Linked DNA regions of Lepisosteus oculatus. The protein of the gene in region 2 purifies or fractionates together with the protein of the main gene of each other region. This does not show direct contact. Links are inferred from orthologs where the notes say so. Each region holds a gene or a part of one and is shown on either strand. Other genes may lie near its edges. The genes, in order: pdcd10a, slmapa, strn and strn3.

Region 1 (7,453 bases), on a different chromosome or scaffold from region 2:
ATATTTTAAGTAAAATGTAACTGTAGCCAGTTCCTTCCATTTTTGGCAGGACTGTAAGTGAGCATGTCACTTTTTATGTCCGTTAAGAAGTGTGCACATTTCTCCAATCTTGAGTTCCATCTGATACAAGCTGCATTTGTGAGGTGGATTTTACAGCAAAAGCAATAAACTGCTTGTTGAACAAACAAGCAATGAACCCTCCACTTCCCTCTCTGCTTTTGACAGGTTCAGGCGCCATCGTCCTTAGGACCTATAAATCCTTTGACCAGCTCTGGATGCTTCATGTCTGTCCAGGTTTACTTCCACTTTTCACCTTTTCACAGTCTCAGTCTCTGCCTAATTTATTCTTGTGCATGTTGTTAAATCTGCTGACATCTTTCAACTGATTGTGAATTCAATATTAATACCGGCATGCATTTCAGTTGAATACAGAAATTGCAGTTAGGCTCTCTCAGTGCCTCTGTCAATAGGACTGCTTTCTGTCCAGTTTGCTTGTCAGGGTAGGGGTAGTACACGGAGATAGAACAAAACCCCTTTATAGTTGCAAAAATAAGATTGAATTGTCTTTGAAATATTACCAAATAAGCAAAAACAGAAAACGGAAGAAAAAAATCTAATCATTCCCACACAGCTCTTTTAAAAAACAACGTACATCACAATTTTTTCTGCACTCTTAAATTTACTGCCTTAAATGATCAAGTATTTAATCAATGCACTAAATCAGGATTGGATACAAGATAAGATCACTTTACTGGCCATATACGGGATTTTGTATTAGGAATTTGTCTTTTTCACATACTCTTAACTTGCTCTTCATGAGACAGACAGCCGGAGAGAAGCTTGGGGTCAGAGCAGGCTCAGCCATTTATACAGCATCCCTGGAGCAGTTGGGGTGAAGGGCCTTGCTCAGGGCCCCAGAGTCGGATTCCTGTGCCGGCCATGGGATACGAACTGGCAACCTTTCAGCCACAGGCAGGCACAGATCCTTAGCCAGAGAGCCACCGCTCCGCCCCAATATACAGGGAGGTATGTTCTTATTCCTTGAACACACTGGAGTGGTCAGTGCTGCATATTATCAGCAGGAGAAGGGAACTTGATTGGGAGTCCTCTGCCTAACTCGCCTACACAACAACTCTTTGAGCAAAATCTGGGATGTTAGAAGTGACAAGAACCTCAGTCTTATCCTGGATGGCTCTGTTTCTGCACCCCAGCCAGTGCTCTGTAATGGGAATAGTTCCAGGGCCCCAGAATTTAAGTACAACCTCATATGAACAGGTGTTCACAAGGTGTGCAGTAAAATATACAAGCTTTTCCTAAGAAAGATCTTCAGGTCACCTGAAGTCACACCCAAATCATAGTCCTGATAGTCAAATGTCTTCCAGTAAATAAGATTTGGCAAATACCATTTAGTGTTGGTATTTACAAATACCATTTACAAAATCTGGAAAAACGTTTGCACGCAGCACGTAGCCCCCGACACAAGAAGAATGTGTAGCTTAAGCTGAACGTATGTTCCGCAGCATTGGAAATTGGGATTCAAAAATCAAAGCTGCTAAGTATATATAGCAGGTTGTACCGGCAGGGATTTGATTCAAATGACAGTATAATCATTCACACATCTACCAATACAGTGTAGGAGGGAGGACAGCACATTTCCCATTATGGGAATATCTGCATACAGCTGGTTCAATTATTAAATTCCACACTGAGATAAATATTTTCCAAACTGAATTTGGGTCATCCCAAACACTTACTGATGGCAATCAGCTTCCCATAAAGTGCTGTATAAAGAGCAGGTCACATCCCGGGCATTTATTTTGAAGCATTACTGAAAACTGCTTAGGGAATAAAAAAAAAGAGCTGATGATGTTCATTCTAGAAAGTGAAAAGACAAGAAGCCTGATGACCACAGAGTCATTTCACACACTGCTGAACCCAGCCTGAAGGAACCTGTTAGGAAACTCAGTAAGGCGAGGTATTAAATATCACTATCAATTCCTATCATATTCTCATGATTCTAAAAGTCTAAAAGTTCTGAGACTATTTATTTCAGCATAACTGATACGCATGCACATATAGCTTAATGACTAATGCGAAACGCACAGATGCAACCCATTTTAAAGTAGCGATTTAACATCACTAGTCGAACTATAAAGAACACGAAACGAGATTTGACCCTGCTGTGTGTTTAATTCACTTTTGGGATTGTTACTGTTCTCACCGCACTGTTCACTCCGAGGCGGTCTGCCATCTCCAAAGCTGTCACGGGTTTAAACAGAAAATGGGAAATACGGCACCTTCAGTTCAGGCTGGTAATCACCAGCCAGGCTTCACTGATCACTGCTGGAAACTTTTCCAGCTTAAAATGAGACGCGAAACTGTATCTAAGCGCGATAGCTATGTCGTTTCAAACAACCAGGAGAGGACGTATAGAACCCGGAAAAAACAGCTCTTTAAAATCTGTCCTATCCGCATACCAAGGCCTGGGTGGCCGGGCTTGTCCCTGGGCTGCCGGCAGGTGAGGGACCAGCCCCCCGGCTCCCAGGGCTGGGCCGGCGGACACCTTTCTAACCGAGTTCCGCGCCAACAACAACAGGCCGAGCCGAGGCCCGTAGACCTCTGGCTCACTCGGACGAGGTGCCTTTCGGTATCAGACCCGGGCGGTTCCGATTCCGGTCAGGCGGATGTTGTTTCGGGGGACAAGCTAGAACCAGGAAACCTTCAACGAGACGAAAGCTAACGATATTAATAACAACAGCATTATTAGAAATACCTATTCGCTAACTACTTCACTGGGCACCTCGAAGAGTGACAACCCATCGACACGAAGTTGGCAGAAAAAGGAGACGTTCAGCGCGGTTTTTGATATTTAGTACGTACCTGCTTCTTTCCGTCCCGAATAAGCCCCCAAACTCCGTTTTTATGTGTTCTTTTTTTTTACCGAAGACGGAAGTTTTCTGCCTGACCAGAGACGCAGGGAGTTGAGGCGAGGTCCCCAGTACACCAACCAGAAAAAGCTTTATAGACGGCTAGGTCGGTAGTAGGAATTGTAGTCTTTGGAGAGCCTTTCTAATGCGGCGAAGATTGGCGCTTTACGTGCTATAAAACTCCAAGTACCAGAAAGCATTTCGCCGCCTCCGCGTCCCCGCCCCCTCACAGTGAGTGACACTCCTCTCGGCCAATAAAGTGCACGGATGGGTAGCTCATTGACTACAGCGGGTTTCGCATGTTATCATGCATTTCTTTGCCCTCTTTTTTTTTTTACTACGCGATAGCAGCCCGATTGATCTTCACTGACAGGTCTGAAATCCACCCCTTCGCAGTTCGAAGTAGCTAGAGGAAATACGGCTAGCATAAAGGCTAGCGTGTTGTGAAGGTAGGACGGGAGAGGTAGCCAATGGGTATGGAGGCAGGCGGGATCGGGCTGTGAAAATATTTAGGTCTGTCTTGAACCTGCCGCGGCGTCCAAAAGGAATAAGCATCACCGAGAGGCGGAGTGCTACTGTAGCTAAGCATCCTTAGCAGAATAGCACTTGGTAAGGAAGGGATTTAAATGCCTTATAATGTCAAACCAAGTCCTAATTCGTTGTGCTGAAACGAATCAACATGTTGTCATTATCGCTCTCCGTTTAACTGAAGCATCGCTGTCAATGATGTGTCTGTGGGTTTTTTTTATTCTTAGAGGGCTAAGTTTATTTTTCTCTCCAGTTCTTGGCTTTTGGGGTTTTTCTTTTTTACTAGCTGTGCAATGACTAAAATCTGCCTTTTTTTTTTAGTTACCAAGAGAGGCGGGTTGCGAATAGCAAAGTGGTCCTTTGTTCTCCTGATACCTATTCTTGTGTGTTCCTGTGTGTGAAGTTATTTTCCGAATCTCATATTAATAATGTACGAGCCGACGGTGTGCATGACTCCTGGGTAGTTTATATTAAACTCGTGATACACGTGAATGGCGTAGAGAATATACAAATGAACGGATTAGCTTTCCGAATTCTTATCTTCTTACATTTCACGTAAAAAGCTGTGTATGTTATGTAAAATGCTGTATATCTATATATCCGTTGCCAAGCCGACGTTCTCGTGACATTGTAAATGTATATTTTTAAAGATTAAACGTCTTGGCATTTGTGATCTGTAGATAATCCACCTAAAAAGTAAAAAGTGAGACGTAAAATTGGGTGTAAAACGTTAGTACGTTAAATTGGTATATAACCACATGGCAAGAACATATATTCACAAGATCTTCCTGAATCGCACTATTCTGATGTACGTATGCGAGTTTAAATCCTCTAGTATACAGTACGTGTCAAACAAGCAGCTAGTTAAATACTGTTTTATTTTGTTACTGTCCTTGCTGGTGTGTACGTTGTTGGAGAAATTTATTATTTGTATAGATTTTAGTTTTTTTAAAATTCTGGCGTGTCTCCTAGCACGGGTGTGGATTTCACACCTTCAAAAATTATTCTCACAAAATAAGCAACCAATCTGTTTACGATAAAAAAAATGTCCCGCCCCCCCCTAGAAATCGTGGATTCGACTTGAACCTTCGCTAAGTGTAATGTTAAAATCACTGAGCAGTTTCCGTTTTAGCGTAACAAAAACGGAACATTGTGTTAACATTGTGAGGTCTTTAATTTGCGTCATGTTAATACCGACTAAATCTTCACATGCAAGTAGGGGCTTTTCTTCCATCTGTGCGCAGGCAGAGGACGGAAATGCCCCTGCGTTACAGAAAAAAAAAAGATATCAGATTATTTTAATTTTTAATTCTAGAACCATTTCATTTTCTGTGAAACTGTGTGACAGTAAACATACATCAAGTCATTGATTATGGCAAATAATTTAGGAATATATTATCGATTCTTTTTCAGGTTTTTTAGTATTATTCTTTTCATGAATTGCTGTTTTGCATACAGTATTTTACCAGTGTAACATCACAACACTTTGGTTGTGTGTATTTTAAAAGCCACTACATCCCTTTCAGAGCTTTCAAGTCTTTTATTCAGCTCAATTAATCTAAACGGCAGCAGATCCAATTACTGTTTAAATCTCTGAAGCACAGCTCTCACTGGTGTCTAAGAAAGTTATTCAGGCACAGAAAAGTCCAAGGAGACATGCATGCTTTGTTAAAGAAGTGGGTTTCTATAACCCTGGCACATTAAGCCCTGCTTTAACGATCTAAAGTCTGGTCATATTTAAAACAACGTTTGCTTCTTATAGAGATTGAATTGCCTTTTTTATCCCCATTTCTAGTGATAAATATCTTCTACCGCAGTATGGGCTGCTTGGAAAACCTAGCAATATTCACATATTGAGTTTCTAATAATTTCTAAAGCTCCCGTTGACCTTTTATTTAATTAATCCTGTGGTTTATTTATTAATTGTGCTAAGCAAACTTAAGTGGGGCTACGAAAATCGAGTTTATTTAGAATGTTCCTCAGAAGGGTGCCAGGAAGTACAGAATAATACCTCCTAGCTGTTGCTGGAAAAAAAGCTTAACTTAATCTCCCAGATGAGCCCTTTCATCACACTGCCCCGAACAACATAAAATGGCGCATTCATCTACACAAACAGAAGACGGGTATGTGTCTGGAGTAAATTTATGAAACTGCATCAAATTCATTTGCACACGATTTGGCTTATTATGCTTTGAGGCGGTAGAGATGGAGCTCAAAGTTTAATTGCTTTTGCATCTCTCTGAAGGACAGTCTGTTGTCATTAGCATTCAGGATCACAAGGAGAAGGAATGTCATGGAATGGAAAAAAATTCCCATATCACCTTCTTGTATTTGGTGATGTTTTAAGTATATACAGTAGGTGCATTGCCATCAGTGAAGTTTCAGTGTTTGTTTTTTGGTATCATCTAAATGAAGAACTAATGTTGGCCTGGAAAAAAAAGGTCCAATTTAAGGCATCCAATTGAATTAGCATTGCATGCGTTAATACATTCTTTTTAATTTAAAAGCAACTTTGTTTAACAATGAGGTATCCAGCATCAGGCATGATCATTATGTGCCTGAGTGCTGTTTGGTCAGGGGACGTGTATTAGAAAGGTAAGATAGTAAGTTCAAATAAAACTAAATAATTCTGAAGAGTGAAGGAATCTGCTTTCCAATGTAGCCGTAGAATCAAATAAAATACTGCTGTTTTTCAAAATAAGTTGCTGAAGAATTTCTTTTAGAAATGTAACATCGAGCAGTTGCCTTGTGCTCTTGACTTGCATGGGGAACCCCTACCCTCAACAGTATTTCAGTTACGCGTCTGCTTGAGAAATAAATTAAATGAACCGATGCTGTAATAAAATGGTCATGCTAGCCCCTGATGCAGAATGATGGTTTATATCGATTTATTCCTGTCTCCTTTTCCCATTGCTGAATCATGTCGGTAACGCCCATAATGAGCAATGGGTCAGAACGCTGAAGATGGAGGTGCTTTCCCATCTTCGGTCCGATAAGATTGGTGTTAGAAGGAATGTGGTAACAAGTAAGGGAAGGAAACTGATGGGACTTGTAATAGACTGTGGATTTGTCTACACTGGCCCTCCCTGCTCCTCCTAAACTTGGGATAAGAAAACTCCACTACCTCTTGTTAAATCTGTGGATCGGACCTGTCACTGCGATTGCCTGCTGTGATAAGATTGTGCAGGAGTGTACGGAATACTCTAATTTATTTTTGGAGAATCTAAATTATGGTGAAGGGTTTTTGCAACGGTGATCAAAGCAGGTTGCCATCAATTGACGATTGACGGGGGTTAAGTTGGGTAACCCTATGGGGATATGTATGCATTTCATTCATTACAGAATCAGAGCTATCATGATTAATGAGCCCGAACAGATGTGCGGTAGAGAAGACTGAAGCTTTTTTTTAAGTCGGACTGAGAACGTTTTTTTTTTCTACGATGAGGAAAACCTGATTGTTATTCTGTTGGTTTCTGTGGTGAATTAATAAACAGTCCATTGCTGTTTTTTTGTGCTGCTGTCGGCACTCTTGATTGTCAGATTCCACAAATAAAGAATCTTCTAGCCTGTTTTGGCTAGACATCCCAGGTACCAGGAATGAGTCCGGTATAATAATGTGCAGCACTGAAGTAGGACATCTGCAGTATGTGGGAGGATTGTAACATGACAATTCTTCATTACATGTTTGATTTTAATATACAATACAGTAAGCACATTGAGGTGTATGGATTAAGGTGGGAGTGAGCTGCGATAGGCAATTTTTCAATATGTGGTGGAAAATCTTTCTAACCTTTGACATGATCTGGTTGAAATGAGATGTCTGCACAAAAAACCTTGTATTTGCAAATGCTAATCTACAATGAGTGACACAGCTGCCCAAGCCTGTGGTCTGTGTTTATGCTGTTTATCCTTTGTTTGTACCTCTGACTGGAATCTGTAGCATTTATTTTCGTTTGGTGTTGTGTTAAAGTGACCCTTCCAGCTGTTTTTTTTTTACT
Region 2 (7,094 bases):
GTAAGAATTTACTCGTTATCTATTACTAAGCTTTCAACATAAACATAGACCTAGATAGTCAGGTATAAAATGTGTATATCAGGTGCCTTTTGTAGCCTTATGTTTTGTAAAGGTCTGAAACTCATATTGCAGTAATCTGCTTATGAACGAAAGGACTTAAAATACCGCTAATTTGGAGACTGGTTTCATTGTTTTAGATTCCAGGTAGTTCCTCAACAGGGCCCCAGCTGAAACATCACTGGAATGCAGCCCTGCTATGATGAAATTGTTCAGACAGACTTGGTTTCAGTAGATAAAGAATCAGGGCAGCAATTAATGGCTCCTTAATGGCTTTAGCACAAAGCTTGGCAATAGTGCCACTCTTCTGTTCTGCACAATAACAGGCAGCCACAGTAACTCAAGGCTCTCAAAAAGCAGACAACAGGCAATGCTTCAAAATGCAAAAAGTCTCTTTGTCATCCGAACGACAGAATGTTCCCTCAAGTGGTATGAGATTCAATTTCTCCCGTAAACTCTAATCATGCCTCAGCTAACTTATTAAAACTGATTTTATTCGGTGACTTCATTCATGCTTGATCTTTGACTTTACAACATCAAATTATTACAAAAATGTGAATTTCTCATTAAAAACCGACAAAGAATTAATCTGCAAATATGCCAGTTAGTCACTACAATGTAAACAGACACTATATAACAAAACTGATGGAATACCCATAATCAAATCGTTTTTAAATTGCTTTTTAAAAAACATATTTTTTTATCTTTTTCTGGGATCCTCCCAATTTCCTTTCTCTCATAGCCTTCACCCTCCATGTGTAAATCCTTTCTGTTCAATATTCCAGTTCAGCATGGCCAAATGATCACAATATTTTTCAGATCTTAATGCAATTAGGTCAAGCCTTCTGTAAAAGCGACAATACTTTCATTCTTTTAGTCCGTCTGAGCAACTGCAGGAGTTCATTATCCAATTAAATACCCGCTGTACAATGCTTATGAGTGCTGTTTTGTTTTTAAGTTCCTGCATTTTCCACAATTTTCACAATGATAACAGAGCATCACTCAAAATAAACATAACTGGACTTATTACCTCTCCTTTAAAGTTTGTCCAGTTTTTATGGGAGGGTTCTGGATTGTAAGAAGTCAGTTTTGCCTGAAAAAAAAAATAATTGCAGTGTTATGAAATCCTTAAAAATGTTTAAAGATTTCATATTTTACTAAAAGATAACAAGAGGACCAGCCAGTAAAATTAATCTTCCTAAGATTCTCAGCATTGCACCATAGTATAGTGATATGTGCAAGTTAGATTTAATTTTGGAGTTGAATATAAGTCCCTAGTCATTCATCAACTCCCTAAAACTCTAAGCCAAAATGTGCCTCGGTCACCTGCTCACCTTACTCTTCCACCAGCACACTAGTTAAATCAACGTCTTTCCACTGCTCAGACATGATCAAACATCAGAATTTGGAGTTGGGTAATAAATTGATTAATTTAGACTGAATACTCCCATTAAAAGATATATTAAATATGCTATCCTGTACATAGTTTTATCAAACCTTGATTGGGGCGTAGAGATGCTCATCTCATGTTTGAGACAGAGATCACAAAAAGTTTAACAAGGGCATACTGTGTTGTAAATGCTTTTCAATGGATTTTAACAAATCATTCCTGCTTTAAAATTGCCTGGCTCCATATTAGAGTCTGTAATGCTTATTTTGAGGAAAAAAGGGCTACCTTGGCTTAAGTAGATAAATACATTTTTATGATTCCTATCTCTTCTTGCTCCACCTTTATTCCTTTGAGCAACAAAATGTTTGCAAGATCTTCCCATATTAAGCCTGACATAACAATTTACCATGACCCATAATGCTCTCTGCCTTTTTAATGCTCCCAGCTGACAAACAGTTGTTTTCATTACCCAAAAAAGTAAGCTGAACCTATTTTTCTTCTGTCGTACCTTATTACACATGACAAGGTTAGTGAACCATATTTACATGATCACAGAGAGCCCACATTTGATCGTTAAACAACAGACTGCTAGATGATTTGTAGTCATTCAGTGCAGTTTCTCTTCTTATAAGCTTGTGGGAATATGTGTTAAGATTAAATCTCATGCTTCTATGTTTGTATCAGAACTCTGCTTTTTGCAGCTTTGGCAAAGACAGAGTGACATCAGTGCATAGTTCTATCCAATAATTACAAGTTGTGCCTGCTCAATTAGAGGTCTCACTGCTCTCTTTTCCATCTGAGATGGCTTTTAAAGGGAACAGCCCAAAGATTCATCGTCTCGGCCTTGGAATCATTACAGATCACGTTCCCAAATAATTTAACTATGAAGGGCCTATGTTGGACCAATGCTATCAACTATAATGAGGGGCTATACATCATTTTTACAAACAAAGATGTAAAGTTCATTTTTGATAACCACTTACAATTGAGCACCAAACAAACCTGCTTAATACCAGTGCTGGTCCAACCGTTGCTCCTTGACCAGTCATCCTTGTAAGCAGTGGAAGGGATCTTGGTTACAAATATCCTTCTCCTGATATGATCGCTAAGAAACAAATAAATGTGCATACACAACACCCTTCTTCACGTCCTCTGTTACTGTGAATTGCTCTTGCAAAAATTGATTTTGCAAAGAATGAGATGACAGCAGTGGAACACATGCCTTTCTCCTGAGACAGCTCTGAAGTGCACAGTTGTTCTGAAAAGGCATTAAGATGGCCATAGATGGAACGATTTCCTTTTTGTTGACACGCACAAAGTCCACTCACGCCAGGGCCAATGTTCCCAGAAGCCAATTAACCACTGGGTCAGAAACTGTTGAACCACTAGGGCACCGTGCTGCCGTGAAAACAGAACTTGTTTCAGAAATTGCAGCTCGTCAATTGTCAGTCGTCAATCAGCTTGGCCTAGGTGCGGATGCCTTTGTTTCAGCATAGGAGACTGTGCTTCGTGACTCCAAATGGCAGGGTCTGGATTACAGAGCTCAGACTGTGCGTGATGTATTTCGACAGAGAATGAAAAGAATGGAAATGGAATTCCTATTACAGAGAGATTTCAGCCATTACAGATTTTAAGAGCTACAGGGACTACTGATAATTGTGTGTGGGGGGGGAGGGAGAATGAAATAGGCTTTTTTTTTTACCTTGACCTCTACTTCCCTGAAAAGCGTAAATCCAAAAGAAATGATTGTATTTGACTGCTTGCGGGTCAAATTAATTACATTTAGAAAGGAATAAATCCCTTAATTCTCTTTAGAGACACAGCATAAAGCAATAGGCTTAGCCTGTCCAGGGTGATATTAGACCCTAACTGGGCAACCCCGTTTGGTGTGACAGCTGTTTCTATCAACACACTAGTCCATACCCCTTTACTTCGAGCTATATGAAAGCAGACTCCTGGAGAGGTTAGCGCTCACTGAATTCATTCAGTTAGTAGTTCCTGGCTATTTTATATTCGGAAACCTATTGGGTTTGTTTCCAACATATATACTTAGAGATTCGTTTTTAAACTTATATTTATTTTAATTTCAATCTACTCTGAACTATAAAAATAGCACACTTTTATATGGAGCCAAGTCCCCTTGTGAAAGAAAGGGTTCATCCATTGTTATTAAGCATTTTTTTAATTATGTGAGCAGTCTTATCCGGTATGCCTATGAACATTTTCTTCAATGACTTGAGCTTTCATGAACTCGAAATATCTCAATTGTAAACCTGTTGTCTGTTTTGAAACTATTAATTTCAACTCGATTCATTTTAATGTGCAAATAGCAGACTGCCACAACTACTTTTCCCACACCGACGTAGATCCGATAGCATGACGTTGCAACAGAGCTGCTACATATTAAAAAAACGCTCCGCATTTTCCTCAGCACATAACCCTGGGCGTTTATGGGGCGTACCAAGCATTCATATCCGGAATTCTTATTGGCTCGTGTCCACTCCAACCACCTCGTTACAACAGCTAGAAGGAACCTCCGTCTCCTGCTTTGCTGTCATTGGTTTACTGCTTTCGAAGCTTCGCGCTTCATTGGAGGAGGACCTGTCCGTCTCAGCCCTCGGTTAACGCCCCCTTCTTTACGACGTTGAGCCAGTCGCGTGCTTGAGTGCGACGCAGCCCGGTCTGAGTGTGTCTCTCATATCCAGTATGGCGGCTGTTACTAGAGGAGGAGGGCAAGTCGTCCGGGTCTGTCCTCAGTTTAACCGGGGTGGGCAGTAATACTGCTGCCGGCAGAGTGTTTTGCAATTTCCACGGGACCTTCCTGAACGCCAAGGTAACTTTATGGCTTAACGCGAAATTTGTTCCAGATCCCACGGAAGAAGACAACAGCGGCAGCGAAAGCTTTTTTCGTGTTAAAATTTCCGCGTCTGCTTATAAAAAAAAGGAGGGGATTTGTTTTGATTTTCGGGTCAGGAAAGTTCACTGCGCTGCAGCCCCGCTTACAGCTCCCGGGAGTGAAAAGGATTTTTTTTGTTTTTAAAGCTCACTTCACGAGTAAGGCCCATCGGGGCAGCTGGGGGATTTATAAACTCAGGCATGCAGTAGAAACTGTCAAAGAGACGGAATTGTTTCTCTCGTCGGTATCTGGTCGTAAAAGGAGGAAGAAATGCGCATTTTTTTGCCACAGACGAATGTGCTGAAGCTGACTTAACACTCGGGCTGTTCTGAAACGGGGAGTGGTAAATGAGCCTCACAGCTAATGTGGTATTTCAGAAGAGGGGAAATACCTTTTTTTTTTCCTGGATTTGTGCGATAACTTGTGTGTGTGTGTTTATTTTTGGCCTAACGCCTGTGTTGAAACAACGAGAAACTAACACTCAGGGGGTGACGGGGGTTTTAGCCGGTGGAGATCGGGGAGGGTGATGAGGTGGTCGAGCTAAGTCTCCCTCAATGAGGAGTCTTAATCACCGGGCGCGTAGGTGAAATGATCATCTTTGATCCTGTAATGTGTAAAAATCTTCACGCGTGACACTCGACACTGCGAGTCAGCGATCTTGTTTTTTTTTTTATCGGTACCTTTGGGGAATCGGGTACATTTGTCTTAAGATCAAGTCCCTCAATGTTGACTGATGAGCAAGGCTTTGGCGGTGCCTGCAAGTGGGATAACACTTTTATGGAAGAGAAGGTATTCCTGAGCGCAGCGGATTTTGTATGACACAATGGGTCTCTTGCTGACGGATGAAAGGATGGCCTGCACTTAGATCTTTTTAAAGACGTTATGTAGTATAGCACCCCCTTTTTTTTGTTTTGTTTGTTTTCCCCCCCCCCGCAATCGCCTCTTTCTGGGGGGGTTTTTTCCTTGGAAACCGAAATTGGGGGGAGAATCGAAAGTTTTTGCCAGTCTGGATCAAGCAGCCTCGCCTTTCGTGTCTGGTTGGAGCGACGCCCCCAAGTCATCATCAATGCCTTCAGCGCTGGCTGTCTTTACCTGCCGCCCGAATTCACACCCCTTTCAGGAACGCCATGTGTACCTGGACGAGCCAGTCAAGATCGGGCGCTCCGTGGCTCGCTGCCGCCCGGCCCAGAACAACGCGACGTTCGACTGCAAGGTGTTGTCGAGGAACCACGCTCTGGTGTGGTTCGACCACAAGACGGGCAAGGTGAGGCGTCGCTTTTCAGGCGGGCGGGACGGGTCGAGCGAGCGGGCTGTCGCCCTGGGCAACGAGCGCGGGTTGCGGGCTTGCACCGGGGTGGGGGGGGACGGGACGTGTGTAGCGAGTTACCTGGCTGCTGTTTTTCCTCTCCTCCTCCTCCTCCTCCTCCTGATGGCGTTCTTCATTAAAGCATGCCGAGCGTCACTCCCCCCCCCTCAAGCGCCAGGCTACCTCTGTCCTCGCCTGGAAACCATGTTGGGGGAATATAGCCGATGCAACAGCCTGTGGAAAACCAGCATTGGGAATAGGGCCCTGGATAGGGAGTTGTTGGCTTGTGAAGGGGTTGTTAGTAATTGCACGGCGCGGGAGGAGGGCGGTTAGCACACCTAAGACGTGTGTTGAGAAAACCAGAAGGGTAACAGAGCAGGTTCAGTGCCGGAGAATCAAAGCGGACGATCTTTGGTGGAGCAGGTGAGGAATCGGCTTGCTGGTTTTGTTTTTTTTTTTTTTGTTACCGGTTGAAGACTTTAAAGCTGGGTTTCCGTGTAGGTTGGCACTACAGGGTGGTCTGCGGTCGCTGCCTGGCTTCTCTCGTTGTATGGTAGCGGACACAACCTGCAAGGCAAATGGAAAGACCCGCAGATTCGGGGGGTGGAGGGGGACGATTCCGGTTTGATTTGAGCACAGCTGGCTGCAGATCTGGAGCTACTCTCGCTGCAAGGGGCAGCTGGCTATCGCACTCCACCCACATAGCGCCGTGTCATTTGCATGTGCCCTCATTAAGCATTCGCAATCCCGAGATCGCCGTTAAGACGGACGACGCTTGGTCCTTATCCATGTGAGCAACATGGATGGCAGTGTGGAAGGACACGATGTGAGACGCAGGAGGGAATGTGCTGCTGCACCGTTTACATGTGAAATCCCGTCTGATGACTATGACTAGGTCCAGTCTCTACAGATTACAGATCAACCTGGTGTAAATTTAATATTTAAAATGTCATCCCCCCCCCTCATTCACGTCTATTGATTCTTCTCTTGGCTTTAATATTGCCCGCAGCATGCCTGGGAGACGTGACTGTTGACAGGCATTTATATTCTCAGTCCCCTTCAAATCACAGTGTTGTGCCGTTGCAGCTGAGGCATGAATAGGTTTTTTTTTTGACTGAGCTGCATTTGGCCGGGTTCCTTTTAATTTAGGACAGAAAATGTCACTTCCTAACGAGATAATGTGTAGGTAGGTATGTGCTGGTTTGGGTTTACAGAAATGGCTGCTTGTGAAAAAAAAATAAATCAAATGGCTCTTGAAAATAAGTTATTTGTAATAAGCAGGGCTAACAACTAATATAGATTCCTAGATATTGACTGAAGACAACCAGTGCCAACTGCCATTTTGTGCTGAGATATTGTTTAAAAATACTTTATCCCGTTCTGTATCCCCAATTACATTTGAGATTTAAATGTGTAATTGAGCAGGGCTCTGATCAGGGGTTCTA
Region 3 (7,765 bases), on a different chromosome or scaffold from region 2:
TCTTGAATTCATTGCTAGCATACTGGGCTGAATCCTGCTTTGGAAAAAGAAAATCCCCAAGGCTGGTAAAACTTAATGACAGCCCTATATTCTCAGAACATCTTTATCATGTCTAAAGCCATTCAGCAGCTGTCCAGATTACACGCTCCTATTTCACACAAGCTGACTGTCCGAGCCCTCATTACTGAACACATGCCCATGCGACAGCACAGCAAACAAACAACTTGGAAAAGTGCTGTGTAATGCAAACCATAGCCCGACCAATCTATAGCCAGAGCAATGTAGGAAACAACCACAAACTGCTCCTTGCCACTGGATAAAATAGCATTTCCTGCTTTTTTGGCCTATTTTTTTTTCCTTCCAGTATTACTTTTAATGATGTGAACAGCAAACCAAAATTCCACGACCTTACTGTCTTCTTCAGCAAGTGTAAGTCAAGTGTCTAAACCTCCGATTTTCACAGCTAAACCCCCAAGGTGTTTACAGCATTGCGCTGCGTCAGGGTTTTTTGTAGAAACAGTAACAACTGCTTGCATTTGTGTAATCAGAGAAGAGAGTCCAAGGTAGCACACACACAAAAACATCATACATCCTGGCTTGCAAAGCAAGACCGCTATTATACCGTTTGCTAACTAGAAAACATTCATGTCTACTGAGCGTTCACTATAAGGAGAAAACTTTTTCAGTACAAAAAAAGGGAAGAAATGAATTTCTCTCCTGCAACAAAGCATTCTGAACTCTCACAGGCCTAGTTAAACAGAGGTCAACTTTATTGAGGAGGAAGAATTTAACTTTGCAACTGAACTGGCCAAAGCCAATGGTGAGATGACTTTCATTTACTGTAAGTGGCCAGCTGCCCACATCAAGCAAAAAGCACCTCCAAAACTATCGGCATTGGTCCTGAAAACCCCCTGCTGTGCCAGTTGTGCTCTGTTTCTCTTGTTTCCACACAGAGCAGACTGTCAGGCCAGAACAGATAAAAATCTATCTGGCTTCGCCACTCTCTATTACACCTGATCTGTGCTCACCCAAGACCTTCAGTGAGCAGGTACTCTTTGTGGACAAACAATCGCCAGACTGGCGTGCTTTAGGGCAATTTTTGGATGTCGGCTTCTCATGCGGGATGAGATAATTTTTTTCTGCATTCACCACTACGTGGAACAGCCAAGCTTATCGACAGCGCAGGCCCCTCATAGTGCATGAGGAGATCCTGTAAGAACAAGAGAGTGTGCGTGGAGGAGGCAGCAAATCTTAAACGCTGCTGTAGTTTAGATCACCGATCTCAACAAGACCAGACCCCCGTCCCGCCCCACACCCGGGCCCCCTCTTAAACCCCAACTCAACAGGTGAGCGGACAGTCTTTTAAAGACACAAAGCGGAGAGGGACATTTCGACTCCCCCTCTCTCGGAGGCTGCCATCAGCTCCGACCCCAGCGACGCAGCTCAAAATGCTTAGTGGCTGCGGCACCAAAGCTCATGGCCCTGCTCCAGATGCCAAAAGGATTTACTACAGGGCACTGAGAGGCAGTGTGCACCAAGAGGAGTGAAGGAGCGGGCAGCAGGCCCTCCTCAAGCACCAGGGTGCCCTGCACAAACGACAGAGGGGTTAGGGTTGGTTATATGTCAGAGCGCACTAAACTCTCAGTAAGCAGCCTGCTACTTTTTAAGTGATTTGCAGCAGCTTTGGCTTAGTCACCCTGTGTGTCTAATGCACTTACTGTTCATAGACGGCTCAGTGCCGGACTTAACTACTAATGAGAGTTTGGAGGCCAGTGTCTCAAACCCTCTTTTACTATTCACGACAGAATTTAAACAGTAGACCTCAACGTGTTTCATTGGGGGGGGGGGGGGGGGGGGGACTATTCGGTAGATTTTCAAATTAATATTTAGCATCTGTCACGAAATTCGCCATCGTTTTTAATTCTGTGGCGTTTAAAATCTCAGCCACAAAACATTTGAGCGTGGTTGCATCGTATGTGGGAGTCACTTCGTATCAAAGAATTATTGACCTCTTCCCTTAAGACAGAAGCCCTACATCACACCTATCTAACCTCCTTGTCTCACGAATTTACATAACTTTACATTTCAAAGGTGCAAACGGAATTCAGTGCCAAGAACTGATTGCTCTGACACATCGGAGTACACACTTCTCCGAGCACATCGGAGAGCTAAACACGGTTACAAATGTATAAAATGCAGGTCGGCTTTTGTCGTTGATAAACGGAGGGGTGCAGACAACAATTCACATGCTGTAGCCCGGAATCCGAAAGCGTTACACTTCGCCACCTTATCACATCCTGAAACATTTCTACGCCTCTGAACACAGCGAAATGTGTTTTCATGCACAGGGTCTGGCACCCCTGTCGAAACGCAAAAGCAACCCGGTACGACATTGCACGTCGGCAAAACACGCGAAACCTCTTGTTTTAAGTTACACATTTCAGAACTCGTGTCCGATCGCAACACCCAGCCTTGGCCCTAGAAGCTACACAACCCTTAGCTGTTTATGCACTGTTTGCTACTCAGTAGTCGGGGAGGAGGGGGGACTGAGCCCGTTCTGTTCAGTGCCGATCCGGAGGGCAGGCAGGGCTCTCTCCGGGACCGTCACGAACGCGGACCGGACCCAGGCTGGGCGCTCAAGGTTGTTTACCTGTAACTCGGCCCGCTCCACCTCCCACTGGGCTCTCTCCACCTCGAATCGGGCCCATTCGTGCTGCAGGAAGTGCAAGATCCCCGGGATACTGTACTGCGCCCGGGCCGCCTCCCCTCCGCCTCCCTCGGGCTGGGGTCCCTTCCCACCGCCGGGCAGCACCGAGTTATTGTTGTTGTTAAAAAAGACTCCGGGCCCTGCCTGTTCTTCCATGGCCAGGCCAGGTAACAGCGCTCGGTTCGCGGAGGGTTGACACGGCGCTTCTGTCTGACGGCTCTCCTCCGCCGCTTCTTCGCTCACTCTGTGGTCTCCGCCTCTACACGGAAAAAAAAAAATCAAGAGCTCTCTCTGCTGGGGACCAAACTCACTTCTGACAGCTGGCTGTCATTCAATGACGTCAAACCCCATGCACACGCCCATAATACATTAGGCTTCCGTATATCTATGGTCTTTTTACTGCACTAGTTTTTCAAAGCATGATGGGATTTGTAGTCTTCTCAGCTCCTCGACAGTAAAACCACCATAATTCGGGTTGAATTGAAAAGCCAGGTTATTATTTTAACACAGTTACCTCCTGTCACTGATTTCCCAAAGGTATTCACATATAGAATTCAACTGAAGTACACAGATAATTTAATAGATTCCTTTAATTTGAAAACAATACCTGATGTTTTTCAGAGAAGAGCATACAGCACATACTGTACATGCGAGAAAGAGTAAGACTGTACTTTGTTACATGCCAACTTTGAAAAGCAGCATTGGTTTTTGTGTTTGTGAGTTTAATGACTGTTAATTGTCTTTTATACAAAACATATACAAAATTACTTGAATCAATCTGCATTATCACTTCATCATTAATTATCTCTTTGACTAAATGTACATGTATATTATATAATATAGGGTAATGTACAATTCTTCAGGTTAGTCTACTGATTCTGCTACAACTAGAAACTAAAGTGACTAATACTTTACAGTACAAAAATAAGTCTTGACCACTTATCCAATTACCTCTTGTATAGGAGTTAAAGTAATACAACACATGCAACTGTTTATAAAGCACTGTATAATATAGAGAAACTAATGACGCCTGCGAACCAACACCTACTAGTATGTCCAGAAACTGGCTATCTAACAGTTAAGAGCTCACTGTAGCAGCTTCTAGTCATTTAACTTATATGTATTATCTGTATGTTTAATAGAACGTCTTTTAGGGCTTTTGAGAAACTAATTATTTAAAGATGCACAGGAAACACGAACACAGCCCTTGAGAGCAGGAGATGAGCACCACTGTATTAATTAGACTATCTAATTTGATGAGTTTTTCTAGGATTCATATTATCGTTAATTGCTCATGACATTGGCAAAAGGTGATTAGTGTGTGAAACCCAGCTCTGTTTTATCTAATTAATTTTTTTACAGATAGGGAAAAAAATGATGAAAGTTTACAATACGGTTTAATTATCAGAAATGTGAGAACCCTACAGGAGAGTTCCTTTTCTGAATTGTGTTATTATCCAAATGTTAAGACTCACTGCCCAAGGGTGACTCCAGAGAGGTCTGCCTGCACATTGCTATTAATTGATTTCTTTTATTAATCCACTAGATGATGACACCAAATAAATAAATGGTGTATTGTAAATAAATGTAGAAATAAATACATTGCAGTGTCTTTAGCCTGGAATACAGTGGAACTCAAATGATGTCATTTGGGAAAATATGGATGAATAAACTATATATATAGACAATCCATATTTTGCAAAAACAAAATCAGCTAGTCAACTCCAAAACAAGTTCAATTCCAGGTCTTGCAACCACTCATGTCAGAAAATAACAAGTGCCATCTGTGTGTTGTGATCTTTAGTAATATATTTATGCAAATTCTGCTGACATTGTAATTTGTCAACTTACAATGCAGGTTTTTGACACAAGTAGCTACTGTCAAATTGACACTTCACAGCTGTCATTCCTTAGAAGGAAACGATGCTGCAGACCTTGCTGTTCACCAGATGAAGAGGAAGGTGTATCTTTATAACTGCCAGCTATCGAACAGGAACCAGAAAATCCACTGAAAACTCACTACAAGGTCAGCCATGAATGTTGTTACTTTTATTACAGTTTCATTCTCATCCTGAAGAAATGGGTTTTTAACCCCCCGGAAGTCATACATTTGGAACAATAAATTGAGACTCTGCATTCTTTTCTACAGATTTCATTTTGCTGAAAAGGTTGTCTCTGGTGCCACTGTACCGGTTGAATCTTCCTTCCCTGAGACATCCACTCGGTAATTGAGGAACAAAAGCAGCATGCTATGGTAGCCATGGTGATCAACATCAAAAATAAAACGCAGTTAAAAGAGGCCTGTCATGAGTGGGCGAATCATTCAGCCCCCAACATATGGCATGAAATTCCTTTGGTGTGTGTGGGTTGAGACTTTTCAATAAATTTGTTTTTAAAATTGCAGAAGAGTTTCCCCATTAAACATTTGTTAAGGCATGTCCACCTCACAGGTCTTTGAACTCTAAGAAGGGTAAATCTGGCCTTCAGAAAGTTTACTTCGTTTTTCGAACCACAACCCGCCGAAGTATCTTGAGAGGCTCGTAAGACAAAAGAACTAAATTTAACCAGGGCTGTTTATTTACTGACAAGCCTTCCTGGGAAAGACTCTTGTTGTGCAGTATAGATGCTGAAGAAGAACTCCACTACAGAATCTTTTTTTTTCCCCAAAGCCAAATCAGGTTTTTAAAACTCTACAGATGTGCGTAGCAGCCTGCACTCTCCAAAATGCTTTAATTAGATTTCTGTCACTCAGTTGTTGTTTTTTTGCAAGGGGTCAGGATGCAAAGGAGGGGTGTTATCGCGTTTTCTCTCTTTGACCCCTCGGTAACTTTCTGGGCCCACTTGTTAAAAGATGCACTTTGGAATTAGGCAGAGAAATAAAAACATTATCAAAGCCTACAATAATAGCCAGGGAATTCTAATTTTGTTGTCACCTTGACAACAAGCTCAATCTCCCATACACTCAGCTGTCAAAGGTCTCACTGAGGCCCTGGCTACCTCATTACCTTTTCTAGCTAGGCCGAATAGCCGCCTCCCGCTTGCTTTAAACTTTCTTTGCCAAGGTTACACTTCCTTATCCCCAACATTTGCCTGTTTTTTCAGACCTGTTTCATTTACAAAAGGTACCTAAAGGCAAATGGCTTTTCATTGACTCAGTGAACAAACTGGCTAATCCTGAAAAGATACGGTAGCCTAGTGTGGGCTAAAACGTGGAGACGCACTAAGGTAAAAGTGCAAAGTTGCATTGTGCTTCACATGGAAGGATAGCCTTTTGGCCTTGAGTTCTTTCTTTAACCTTCGATGAACAATTCAGTCATTGTTTCCATAACAAACAAATTTCAGTGGAACATCAAATATTCTGCAGAGCTGCACAAAAGCCATAATAAATACTTAAATTGAATTAATGTCTTCTTCCCGTCAGATCTCCCTTCATATGCAATGGGGTCAGTGGGTCTTTAATTTGCAAGTTGGTCTGTTTTAAAGATTTCGCTTACTCATAACTGTCAGTTTTGTACACTTGAAACCTGCAAGCAAAAATTGCCTGAATGGAGTCCTTAAAATGTCTCAGTTCAGTACCTTGAAGTAATCCATGGCAAACGTTCCTGCTAGGGGACATTTATCAATAACCCTTTGTTAAGATAAGGGCCTTTTAGTACTCCTTGCAGCCTCCAAACTCCGCTAACAGGGCTCCGGCAGTCAAGTCCTCAGCAGCAAAACAGGTGGAGAAGACGGAGCTGATGTATCCTGGAGAACCGGGAGGTGCTGGCAGATGTCGGCTGCAGCAGGAATGAAGTCTGCAGTCAAGAATGAAGCACTTCGGCCTCCGTGTCTTTGGATCAGGATAGGCCTGGAAGCTGGTGAGAAACTCCGCAATAAAAGCACAGGGCAGAGAGCCCTGTCTCGTTATTCACCTCTGGGGTCAGGGACGACAAGTCATAGAGGGGCAGTCAACACATTTCTAACAAAGTAACACCATTTGCAGTTTGATTTGAATGTGCCCGAGACACCAATACGGTGTTCTTTAACAAAATAGATTTGTAAAGCCATGGTGAAGACGTGCAGAGAATCACACAACAGCATTCAAGGTCAGCAAGCATGAGGCGTGTTTGAAAGAATTACTTGCTCTCCCGGCAGAGTCATCATAAGACTCTTGATGCCTTTCGTGTGAGCTAGACTCCTGTGAACTGCCAATGTATTGTAAAACACTCATGTAAGACAGTAGTTCAGCCTCAAGTTAGGGTTGTGTAGGGTTTTGCAAAGGGAAATAATAAACCAACTGCACTGAAAGTGGAGTAGTCTGTTGTGCAGATAGCGGTTTGTATTAATCCAGGGGTTGTCAGCATAGTGGGGGCCTGCAGGCATTTGCATAGGGGACATTTCCACCTGCAGTGCTGGGGTAAGTTCTGGGGAAAATCCCAGAATAAGGATGTCATGCTGTTAGGATCATCAGCCCCAAGAATAGCTGAAACTGCAGAAACTTTCAGGATCTTCAATAATGTACAGCACAGAAAAAAATGAAAAGCAGTTAACAAGTCTAGTAGGATCACTGTAAGATCACCTCTGTATTGCAGATCACCGGGCAGGCACGTGGATTTTATTTTCACCTGGGGGGAGGAATTTAATTCCATTTATTGTTCAGCACAAGCCCTGTTTTATAGTCAGAAGCTATAAAAAGCTCATAAAAAAAAACAAGAAAAAGGGGAATTAACTTTTGGAATTTGCCTTTTAACCAATACTATTGAAAATGTTTTTTTTTTTTACTGCAAAAAGACAAACTTGGAGCACAGATTAAAGCTGGAAAATTGCATGGCTGTACATATTTCTGTTGCACTACTATTATATTCACTAGAGAATCAACTGACTATGGTAAATACTGTACAATTAAAAATAAAAACAATTAGAATTTGTTGCATATTTGTTCATTTCTAAACCTTTACCTCACTTGTAATAGATTACCCATATTAAAACACCAGAGCAATGGAACTATTAACTACATGGCTGAAGCACTGGTGCTGTGATTTTTAGCCCACAGTCACATTACAAAAAGCCAAGCTCCTC
Region 4 (7,988 bases), on a different chromosome or scaffold from region 2:
TGCTCAGCACTTCCTGCAGTAGAATGTCCAATCTGCCCCTTTTCCCTAAGAAGCAAGCTTTTTTTTTTTTAAGGTACATGTTGCAGTAATGGACTTGTTGTTGCTCCCAGGCATTTTCTCATCACCGGTCGGCCACTGTCTTGCCATAATCACAGGTCAGTTCTGCTTTTCTTTTCACTAGTAAACAGATTAAGAAGATTTAAACAGCAAGACTCCCTCATGCTGCCCACATGACCTTCCTTCTACCAGAAGCCTCTACACAGATGGACTCCTACAGCCACTGAAGACAGAGAGAGAGCACAGATATTGTTTGTATAAATATTGAGGGACCAAGTGTTTTATAAATAACAGGGAAACTGTTTAGCAAACAACTGGCACTGAGAAGATAGCGTCTGCAGCTAGCCATCTACAACACATACGAGGATATATGCATCGACATCCAGCACAACAAAATGTGATTGAAGTGTGATCAATTTCACAGACCAGACACTTGCATAACAACACTGTATGAGAAAATGTTGGGCAGCCTTCTTAAAAAGGAAGACTATTCCCAATGTAGTGCATTACACCTAGTATAAAACAGTAACTGCATTTTAGTGTACCAGCTTTATTTTGAATGTAAACCTTCACAAAATCTGCAGTTAGTGCCAAATGGTGTTCTCAGAAGGTAGCTATAGGCATTATAGACCCGTAGAGTTATTTATCATTTTGACAGGAACACAGCAAGTGATTAAAAGGCCCTGAATTTCTATCCACAGATTTTAGCACTTCTGAATGGCTTTAAAGTGTATCTTTTAACACTGCAATAATCCATAAAGAAATTTCATAACTTCAGTATCTGTCCTTAGTAAATCTGACAATTTTCATATAGTTACCATTCTGAAATATACATGCACATGACAAAACTTTCAAGCAATATTTTGTATGCAAATACAGCTGAGTCTGTCTAGGTCTCCGTAGGAATATGTGAAATTATGTTCAAATTCCCTCAGCATAACAAGAGAGACTAAGGCTACACACACAGCTGAATCTTAATTTCAAATAGCTCCTTAGTTCAAGACACAGTAGTAACCTGCAATAAGAGCATGATGATGAATCACTAGATGAATCTTTCCACAGTTTTCACACAACACATTAGCACAATTCTGGGAAAGTTCCCAGGCTTCCCGACAAGTGATGTCATCAGAACCAACTCTGATCCCGCACTCGCTGGGGATGTCAGAGACATCATGAATGACCAAGAGGCCACCACTGAATAATCAAAAACCGTTTCAATCTAGAGCGTAATAAACATGATGCAGATTTAAAACAAACATTTAAGTAATACTAACAAAACATGAACTTGAATTAAAAGCAGTAGATGGATTGCAACTGTCCGGTAGGGTAAACCGGCAAGCTTCTGCCCACCCGTTGTATAACAGAGAGGCACGCAGCTGTCAAAAAAAGCCAAATGCAGAACAGCAGCTATTGACCTATATCACACGCGCAACACTTTTGCACAGACGGGCCCTCACACCTCACTGCCCGGCTGGCACTAGGAAGTTGGGGGGGGGGGCTCTATTTTTAACCCGAGTAGTAATCGAGGGCATGTGATGGGGACGTTACGAAGCCATGCACTTTCACACTGTTTCGTCTCCGCACTTGTGACTAACACACAAGCCGCCGCCGCCGCCGCCACCCTCCTCCCCCAGTCCGGCCGGCTGCACAAAGCGCGTCCACCCGAATCTAAATCAAGCGGGTGTTGCGAGACACGGACACGTCCCCGCGTCTGCGTCCCTGGCGATTCGTGGCAACCCTTTGTGTCATTTAAAAAAAAAAACAACAACAACAAAACACGGTTAATTCGGGGGGCGATTCTAAATTAACGGGGCTTCGGGGGCGCCTGTTGGCTCAATGCACGGTGCTCAAGAAGTCGTCGGGTGACGCGCTCCACCATCACACAACAATCACAGACTTCACAAGCCACGGCCGTGATCAACGACCGTGACCGCTGTTGTTATCACACCACCTCCACCCCGCCGACAGGAGTGAAGCCGCTTCCCCTCCGGTGAATCCGTGAAGGGGAGTGGGTGAACTCGTCCAAGCAGCGCAGAGCACTAGGAGCCGGGCGCCAGGCTGCAGCTCGCCTTTGCCTGGCCAGCGCACACGCTGCAGCAATTAAGACACCCCCCATAGAGACCCCCCCCCGGGCTTTCCTGCAAAGCCCAGGGCCCGAGCCCTGCTCGTGTACGGAGGGGGCCGAGCTGCCGGCCTGCTGCGTCGGTTCTGCACCGCGCAGTACTGTAACAGAAAGCGGCCCTCCGCCTGACGCCATATTGGCACAACCAAAATGGCCGCCTAGAGGATCCCTCTATACGCGAGTTACTGGTTCGCTCGGTTTTCCTGTTTTAATCCCCCCCCCTCTCCTGGTGTAGAGCTAAGGGAAACCCCAACGAGCCCCCAGACCGACCTTCACTCCAGAGCAAGCAGGTAAAAAAAAATTAAAAAAACCACGCAGATCGTGTGTGTGTGTGTGGGGGGGGGTTCTTTTATTTTTTTTCCTTTTGCTTCGGCTCCGCCGCTCCACTTCCGAAATATTATTTTCGGGCAGTCGTGGCCGTGCGTCGCCTTTTCTGTAGCAAGGGGCGTGCTCAGCCCCGACTGCCTCTAGCTATCGGCGGGGCGAAATACTGCGAAAGTGCCGTGATCCGATACCTGGAGTTCGGCCCTCTCCACCTCCCAGTGCGCCCTCTCCATCTCGAACCGGGCCCACTCGTGCTGGATGTAGTGCAGGATCCCCGGGATAGTGTACTGCTGGGGCCGAGGCATCTCGTCCTGCTGCGGCGGCTGCTGCTGCTGGACCACCAAGGCACCCCCTCCTCCCCCGGACTGGGGATTCATGTTGTTATTATTATTCCCCGGCTGCTGCTGCTGCTGTTGTTGTTGTTGTTGGAGCTGCTGTTGCCTCGGCGCGGCCATTCCTACTCCTCCTCCGCCACTTCCACCTCCTCCCGGGTGTTCATCCATTTTTTTTTTAAAAAAAAAAAAGGGAAGAAGAAAAAAAATTTGCCCCAGCGACAGCTAATGCCGCACAGGTCCCTTCGCTCTTCTCGCTCTCTCTCTCTCTCTTTGTGCTTGCCCCCAAACGAGTGCCCCGCCGCCGTGTGCAATTCGCAAGCGCCCTTTCCGCCGCCGCCCCCCCCCAGCTGGGGTCGCGGAGGTGCCTGTTGTGAGGTGGTGTTTGGGTTGTGTGTCAGAGAAGCAACGAGCTGCCGGCCGCCATTACAGTCCCTGGATGTGAGCCTGTCTCCTCACTGCGGGGGTGAGGGAGAATGGGCCCGCGCTGCATGCCGGGACACACTCACCAGGCGGTTTTTTTTTTCTCATTTATATCCAAATACAGACCTGGCAGGCACCGGGCATGCGTGCCGTCTTACATGGTGGCCGGGCTGGGGGGGGACGGCGGTTTGGCTGTTCCCAGGCACCTCGTAAAACGTGGGAGAGCTCAAGCGTTATGTTGGCCGGTGCTGACAGAGAGTCCGAGAATGTGCACGGAAGAAAGAAAGAAATAAAGGCTCCGTTGCACGCACAGGTCGTCCGTAGGCAGAGCTGGCAACGTGCGCGTCGGTTTTCGTTTCTCGCGTGGATTTTCTACACACACACACACAAAATGAAAACGTGACCTTATATGGGGTGAAATAAAACGTGGGAGCTCCGTGTTTTATATTTCGCGTTCCTGCGCCTGTCATTGTGTGAGAAATTGGTCGCACCGGAGCGGGTTCTCGGGCTGCTGGGAGGTGTCAGTCCGCACCTTGACAAAATCGTCATCTCGCTCATTGCGACGGAGAACAAAAGCGCATGGTACAAGAGCTGGATGTACAGGGGGCACAATCCCGATATTCTGAAACATTTGTAGAATACTCCGAAATCCAGGAGTGTATCTAGGGGGATTATACTTCGAGCATGCTGTATTAAGTAGACTCGGTGAACAGTAGCTGGCACTTCGCTGTTCTGTCTGAGCCGAGAATCGAGGTTGATGTGATGTCCAGTGAAGTTATGAGGTCGCCTAGTGAAACAAATCTGGGCTCCTCTTATTGCATTTTTAATAGCTCGTATTGATACAAACGTTATGGAGATAAACAGGGAAGTACAGTAAATGGGAAGGGAGATCAGGTGTCCATTCAAGCATGTTCCGTTATTTCTTAGTCAAGTGCAGTGTCACTGTGAACTTGTGCTTTGGGATAAACTGGATGATATGAACTCAGAGAGTACATGCAAACTCCACACACAGCATACCCCAATCTGCAATCAAATCCAACGCCACAAGACCTGTGATGCCACAGAAGTGTGGATTGTTAAAATATATTTTAATTTTTGTATAAGTTACGTTAGCCAGTGAACTTTGTGCATTATTTTTTTTTAATTTAAATCTAAAAAAATGACAGTATGACACAATTTGTCCTTGTGTTCTTGAAAATTGTTGAAATTTAATAGAACAGAATATGCAGTAATTGATAGGTACATACTTAAATGTTCCACCAGAGATGAGAAGCTGCTATCACAGACTACAGAATGATTTATTTTTTACACAGTAGGCTGGAGTTGACCATCCCCAGTGGCATGATGCGACACTGAATTTGAACACATTCATTCGTTCAATGTCCCCTGGCTGTCTGGTATATTTGTAATAATTAGTGCTTGTGTTAACATGCAGAATTTACTGTTTTTCTGGCAATTGAACCAGGATCCTTGACTGAATTCAAGCAAACAATGCAGTGTGCCACTTCAGTAGCAATTCTGAGAATTTCTGCTGTTATAGTTTAAAACGTATATATTTTCTATCAACATAATTATTAATACTGCACAGATACAGCTGTTTAATCACCGGCCACTCCCATGGGAAAAGATAACAGGTTTGTTTTCTTAGGTTAATGGTGTGCGGCAGTCATGTGGTCGGACGCGTCCTCAGCCAAAACATTTAGATGTAATGTGCATGTTACAAAAAGATCATGCACATAGTGTCCACAGAGTATTTCACTGCGCTGAGGTGTGGACTGGCCTGTCATGTTGTTAACTGGTCCTGCCTGCACTATTGCAGCGTGCAGTACAGTACATATGAGTTGTGGCTGGCCAGAGCTGGTCTTCTGCTCCAAATGTGAATCTGAAGGGAGTGTAGATGGCGTTCCCACAGTGGCTTCTGCTAACCTGCTTTAGGAACAAAAGTGGAATTCTTTGCTCCTCTGTCGTGGCCTTAAGGAATGACGTATTTGTTTCTGTTCTCTACGTTCCCTGGGGCTTTGGTTCTGTCTGTGCTCTTTTTTAGAGCAGTGCCTTTAAAAAGGACGCACTTTCTTGAGGACAGTCATTGTGTTTTGGGACGGGGACGGGCGGTGGCCAAAGGGCACAGCCCAGCGTCCAGAGTGCAGACCTGCCGCTGACGTGAGGCAGGACGTCCTGTCTGCTGCCTTTCCCCCAACCCTGCCCCAGAATTGTCGGTGATCTGCCAGGATATTGCGACAGTTGCACAGCGCTCCTGCACAAGTGACGAGCGCTGCACATGCGTCACGACAGCGGCGCTTTTTCCTCTGCTTGAGGCACTTGTGAGCACATAAGATAAGATCACTTTATCGGCCATATCCAATTTCTTGCGTTAGGAATTTTTCTTTTCGCATACCCCAACTTGCTCTCCATGAGACACACGGACACACAGGCAGGGATAGAAGCTTGGGGTCAGAGCACAGGGTCAGCCATTTATACACCACCCCTGGAGCAGTCCTGTTGTAGATTTTCAAGTTCAAGTTCACGTTTATTTGTCATTCCAGTCATCTGCAAGTATACAGTGTTACGAAATATCCTTCCTCCTAGTCCACAGAGCGTTTTTTCCAGACCCAGAACAGCCACTGCGTCTGTGCACACCACCATCTTGATCAGTCATCTTTTAAGTGTTGCAGTTGAGAGGAGAAATTTTCATACACCGGTAAGACACATGGAAAGATTTGCCTGTCCATTTCCTAACCGCTTCTTCCAGTTCGGGTTTGCTGGGAGTGGGATCGTGTCCCAGGAAGCAGTGAGCGCGAGGCAGGGACTCCGGGACATTGCAGGGCCCTCACAGACACACACAGACACGCACACACTCGCACTTGGGGCCAGTTTTCCCAGAAGCCATTTAGCCTACCAGTATGCTTTTGACTGTAGGAGGAAACCCATGCAAACGCATGGAGAACATACAAACTCCATGCCGACAGCACGCTGGGAATTGAACCTCGGCCCCGGCTCTGTGAGGCAGCAATGCTTACCACTGTGCTACTCCTCGTATATCTATTTAGGGTAAATTTAGCGTCAGCCATTTAGCTCCATGCTTTCCTCGGAGTGTCTCAGTTGTTTTGTTTGGGGGTTTGACGTGACTGTATGCAAGTAAAAGGGTTATTTGGGGCTGTACCTTTGTGGCTCATTGGCAAAGAACACGTTCTCCTTGCTAATATATACAGCACACTTGTCATTTCAGAGTGCCCCAGAGACAAGGAGGGACAAAAAATGTGTAAACAGATTTGGTTGTGCTTTGTAAGAGATCTGAGATGTAGGAGATATTCCCATCTTGCTGTTCAGGTTGAAGAATCAGACACTGCGCCTTGTTTCCACACTACCTATACACTATCCGCATTGTACACTGAGCTGGATATCACATCACACCTATCCCTCTCTGCATCCTTCTGTCATATTAGATACCCCAATTACCCTTCCTGTGATAAAGAGTTTCTAAGGTATTTTTCCTTGTTTCACCGAATGCAAATTTTCGTGCATGATTTCATTACCATTAGCTAAGAAAATACAGGCGGGTTCTGATTTCAAAATTGGATCAAGAAAAGAAACTGCTGGACTTCGTTGGGCTCCAGTTTGGAGTCTGAGCCTCTCTGCACTGCAGGGAACAGTTATGGCTCGTGTTAGAAGGGAGCCCAAAGGAAAGGAAAACTTTGTTCCTGCTCTCCCCACTTCAGTTTCCCATATGTACCATGTCTGTTTGTGTGCTTGATTATTTGTTTTGCATTTTTCATAGAATATGTAATAGAACACCTCACAGCCTCTTTTTTTCTCATGCAACTAAGGTGTATTAAAACGGCTCAAATTAGACCACTAAGCCACAGTTTATATTGTTCACATACTGTTGCAGCTTCCCTGCAGCTTCCATCTGCTTTTGCTTTTGAAAGCTCAATATTTATTTAGACTTATTGCTCTTCAGAGAGAAAGCCGCAGGAGCCTCCAGAAAAACATGATCAAGTTTTTCCTGATGGTTAACAAGCAGGGTCAGACACGCCTGTCCAAGTACTACGAGCACCTGGATATTCAGAAGCGAATGTATTTGGAAGCTGAAGTCATTAAAAACTGCCTGTCCCGGAGAAAAGAGGAGGTATGCAATATGGAATTGATTTTTGGGAATCATCATGGGGTATTTATCCAGAAACCCTGGTCGAATTCTACTGAACTGTATTGTTATTGAAAGATAATCAGGGCGATGAGAGTGCTAACACTGGTTAAGTCCCATATCTTAACAATAATGCCACTTTCGCCTGGCAGGCTGAATACAGAAGTAAAGCTGTTGTTATGGATGTTATTGTATGTTACTAGTCTTAAACTACCCCAGTTCCACATGAAATAATACTTACCTAGAAACCAATGAAATACCTTTCATTTGGTCATTTTATATTTTCTTTATTATTGTACTGTTGGGAAGGGTAAAGTCATGTGATTGATTTTAACTAGCCTGTGACTGTGGAATTGTATGCGTATTGGAGACAGTTATGGACTGACTCTTCAAAGAAGAAGCTGTGTAGATTCTAATGAGGTGTACTGTTTTTTCAGTGTTCCTTTGTTGAATATAAAGACTTCAAGCTCATTTATCGACAGTATGCAGCACTTTTCATCGTGGTTGGGGTGGACGACACTGAGGTAAGCTAGTGTGTTTTGTATGTTTCCTTTTATGAACACACACAGCACTGAATATTATGGTCCAG

Evidence for each region.
Region 1: the proteins of slmapa (region 2) and pdcd10a purify together in Homo sapiens (affinity purification with mass spectrometry; 3 studies listed by BioGRID and IntAct, counting the BioPlex papers as one, with this or other methods). This does not show direct contact. The link is inferred for Lepisosteus oculatus from reciprocal best matches to the Homo sapiens genes SLMAP and PDCD10.
Region 3: the proteins of slmapa (region 2) and strn purify together in Homo sapiens (affinity purification with mass spectrometry; 5 studies listed by BioGRID and IntAct, with this or other methods). This does not show direct contact. The link is inferred for Lepisosteus oculatus from reciprocal best matches to the Homo sapiens genes SLMAP and STRN.
Region 4: the proteins of slmapa (region 2) and strn3 purify together in Homo sapiens (affinity purification with mass spectrometry; 5 studies listed by BioGRID and IntAct, with this or other methods). This does not show direct contact. The link is inferred for Lepisosteus oculatus from reciprocal best matches to the Homo sapiens genes SLMAP and STRN3.

What each region holds. Positions count from the first base shown.
Region 1 is NC_090708.1:4,828,054-4,835,506, reverse strand, and holds the start of pdcd10a (programmed cell death protein 10-A), read right to left. Parts: upstream 3,020-7,453; 5' UTR 2,881-3,019; intron 1-2,880. UniProt on the Homo sapiens protein: Promotes cell proliferation. Modulates apoptotic pathways. Increases mitogen-activated protein kinase activity and STK26 activity. Important for cell migration, and for normal structure and assembly of the Golgi complex.
Region 2 is NC_090699.1:56,626,906-56,633,999, reverse strand, and holds the start of slmapa (sarcolemma associated protein a), read left to right. Parts: upstream 1-4,089; 5' UTR 4,090-5,409; coding exon 5,410-5,607; intron 5,608-5,864; exon of another isoform or gene 5,865-6,072; intron 6,073-7,094. UniProt on the Homo sapiens protein: Associates with the striatin-interacting phosphatase and kinase (STRIPAK) core complex, forming the extended (SIKE1:SLMAP)STRIPAK complex.
Region 3 is NC_090712.1:6,771,023-6,778,787, reverse strand, and holds the start of strn (striatin), read right to left. Parts: upstream 3,019-7,765; 5' UTR 2,864-3,018; coding exon 2,651-2,863; intron 1-2,650. UniProt on the Homo sapiens protein: Calmodulin-binding scaffolding protein which is the center of the striatin-interacting phosphatase and kinase (STRIPAK) complexes.
Region 4 is NC_090703.1:5,557,953-5,565,940, reverse strand, and holds the start of strn3 (striatin-3), read right to left. Parts: upstream 3,007-7,988; coding exon 2,695-3,006; intron 2,470-2,694; exon of another isoform or gene 2,064-2,469; intron 1-2,063. Other genes in the region: ap4s1 (AP-4 complex subunit sigma-1), read left to right, coding at 5,669-5,956, 7,217-7,384, 7,837-7,923. UniProt on the Homo sapiens protein: Calmodulin-binding scaffolding protein which is the center of the striatin-interacting phosphatase and kinase (STRIPAK) complexes.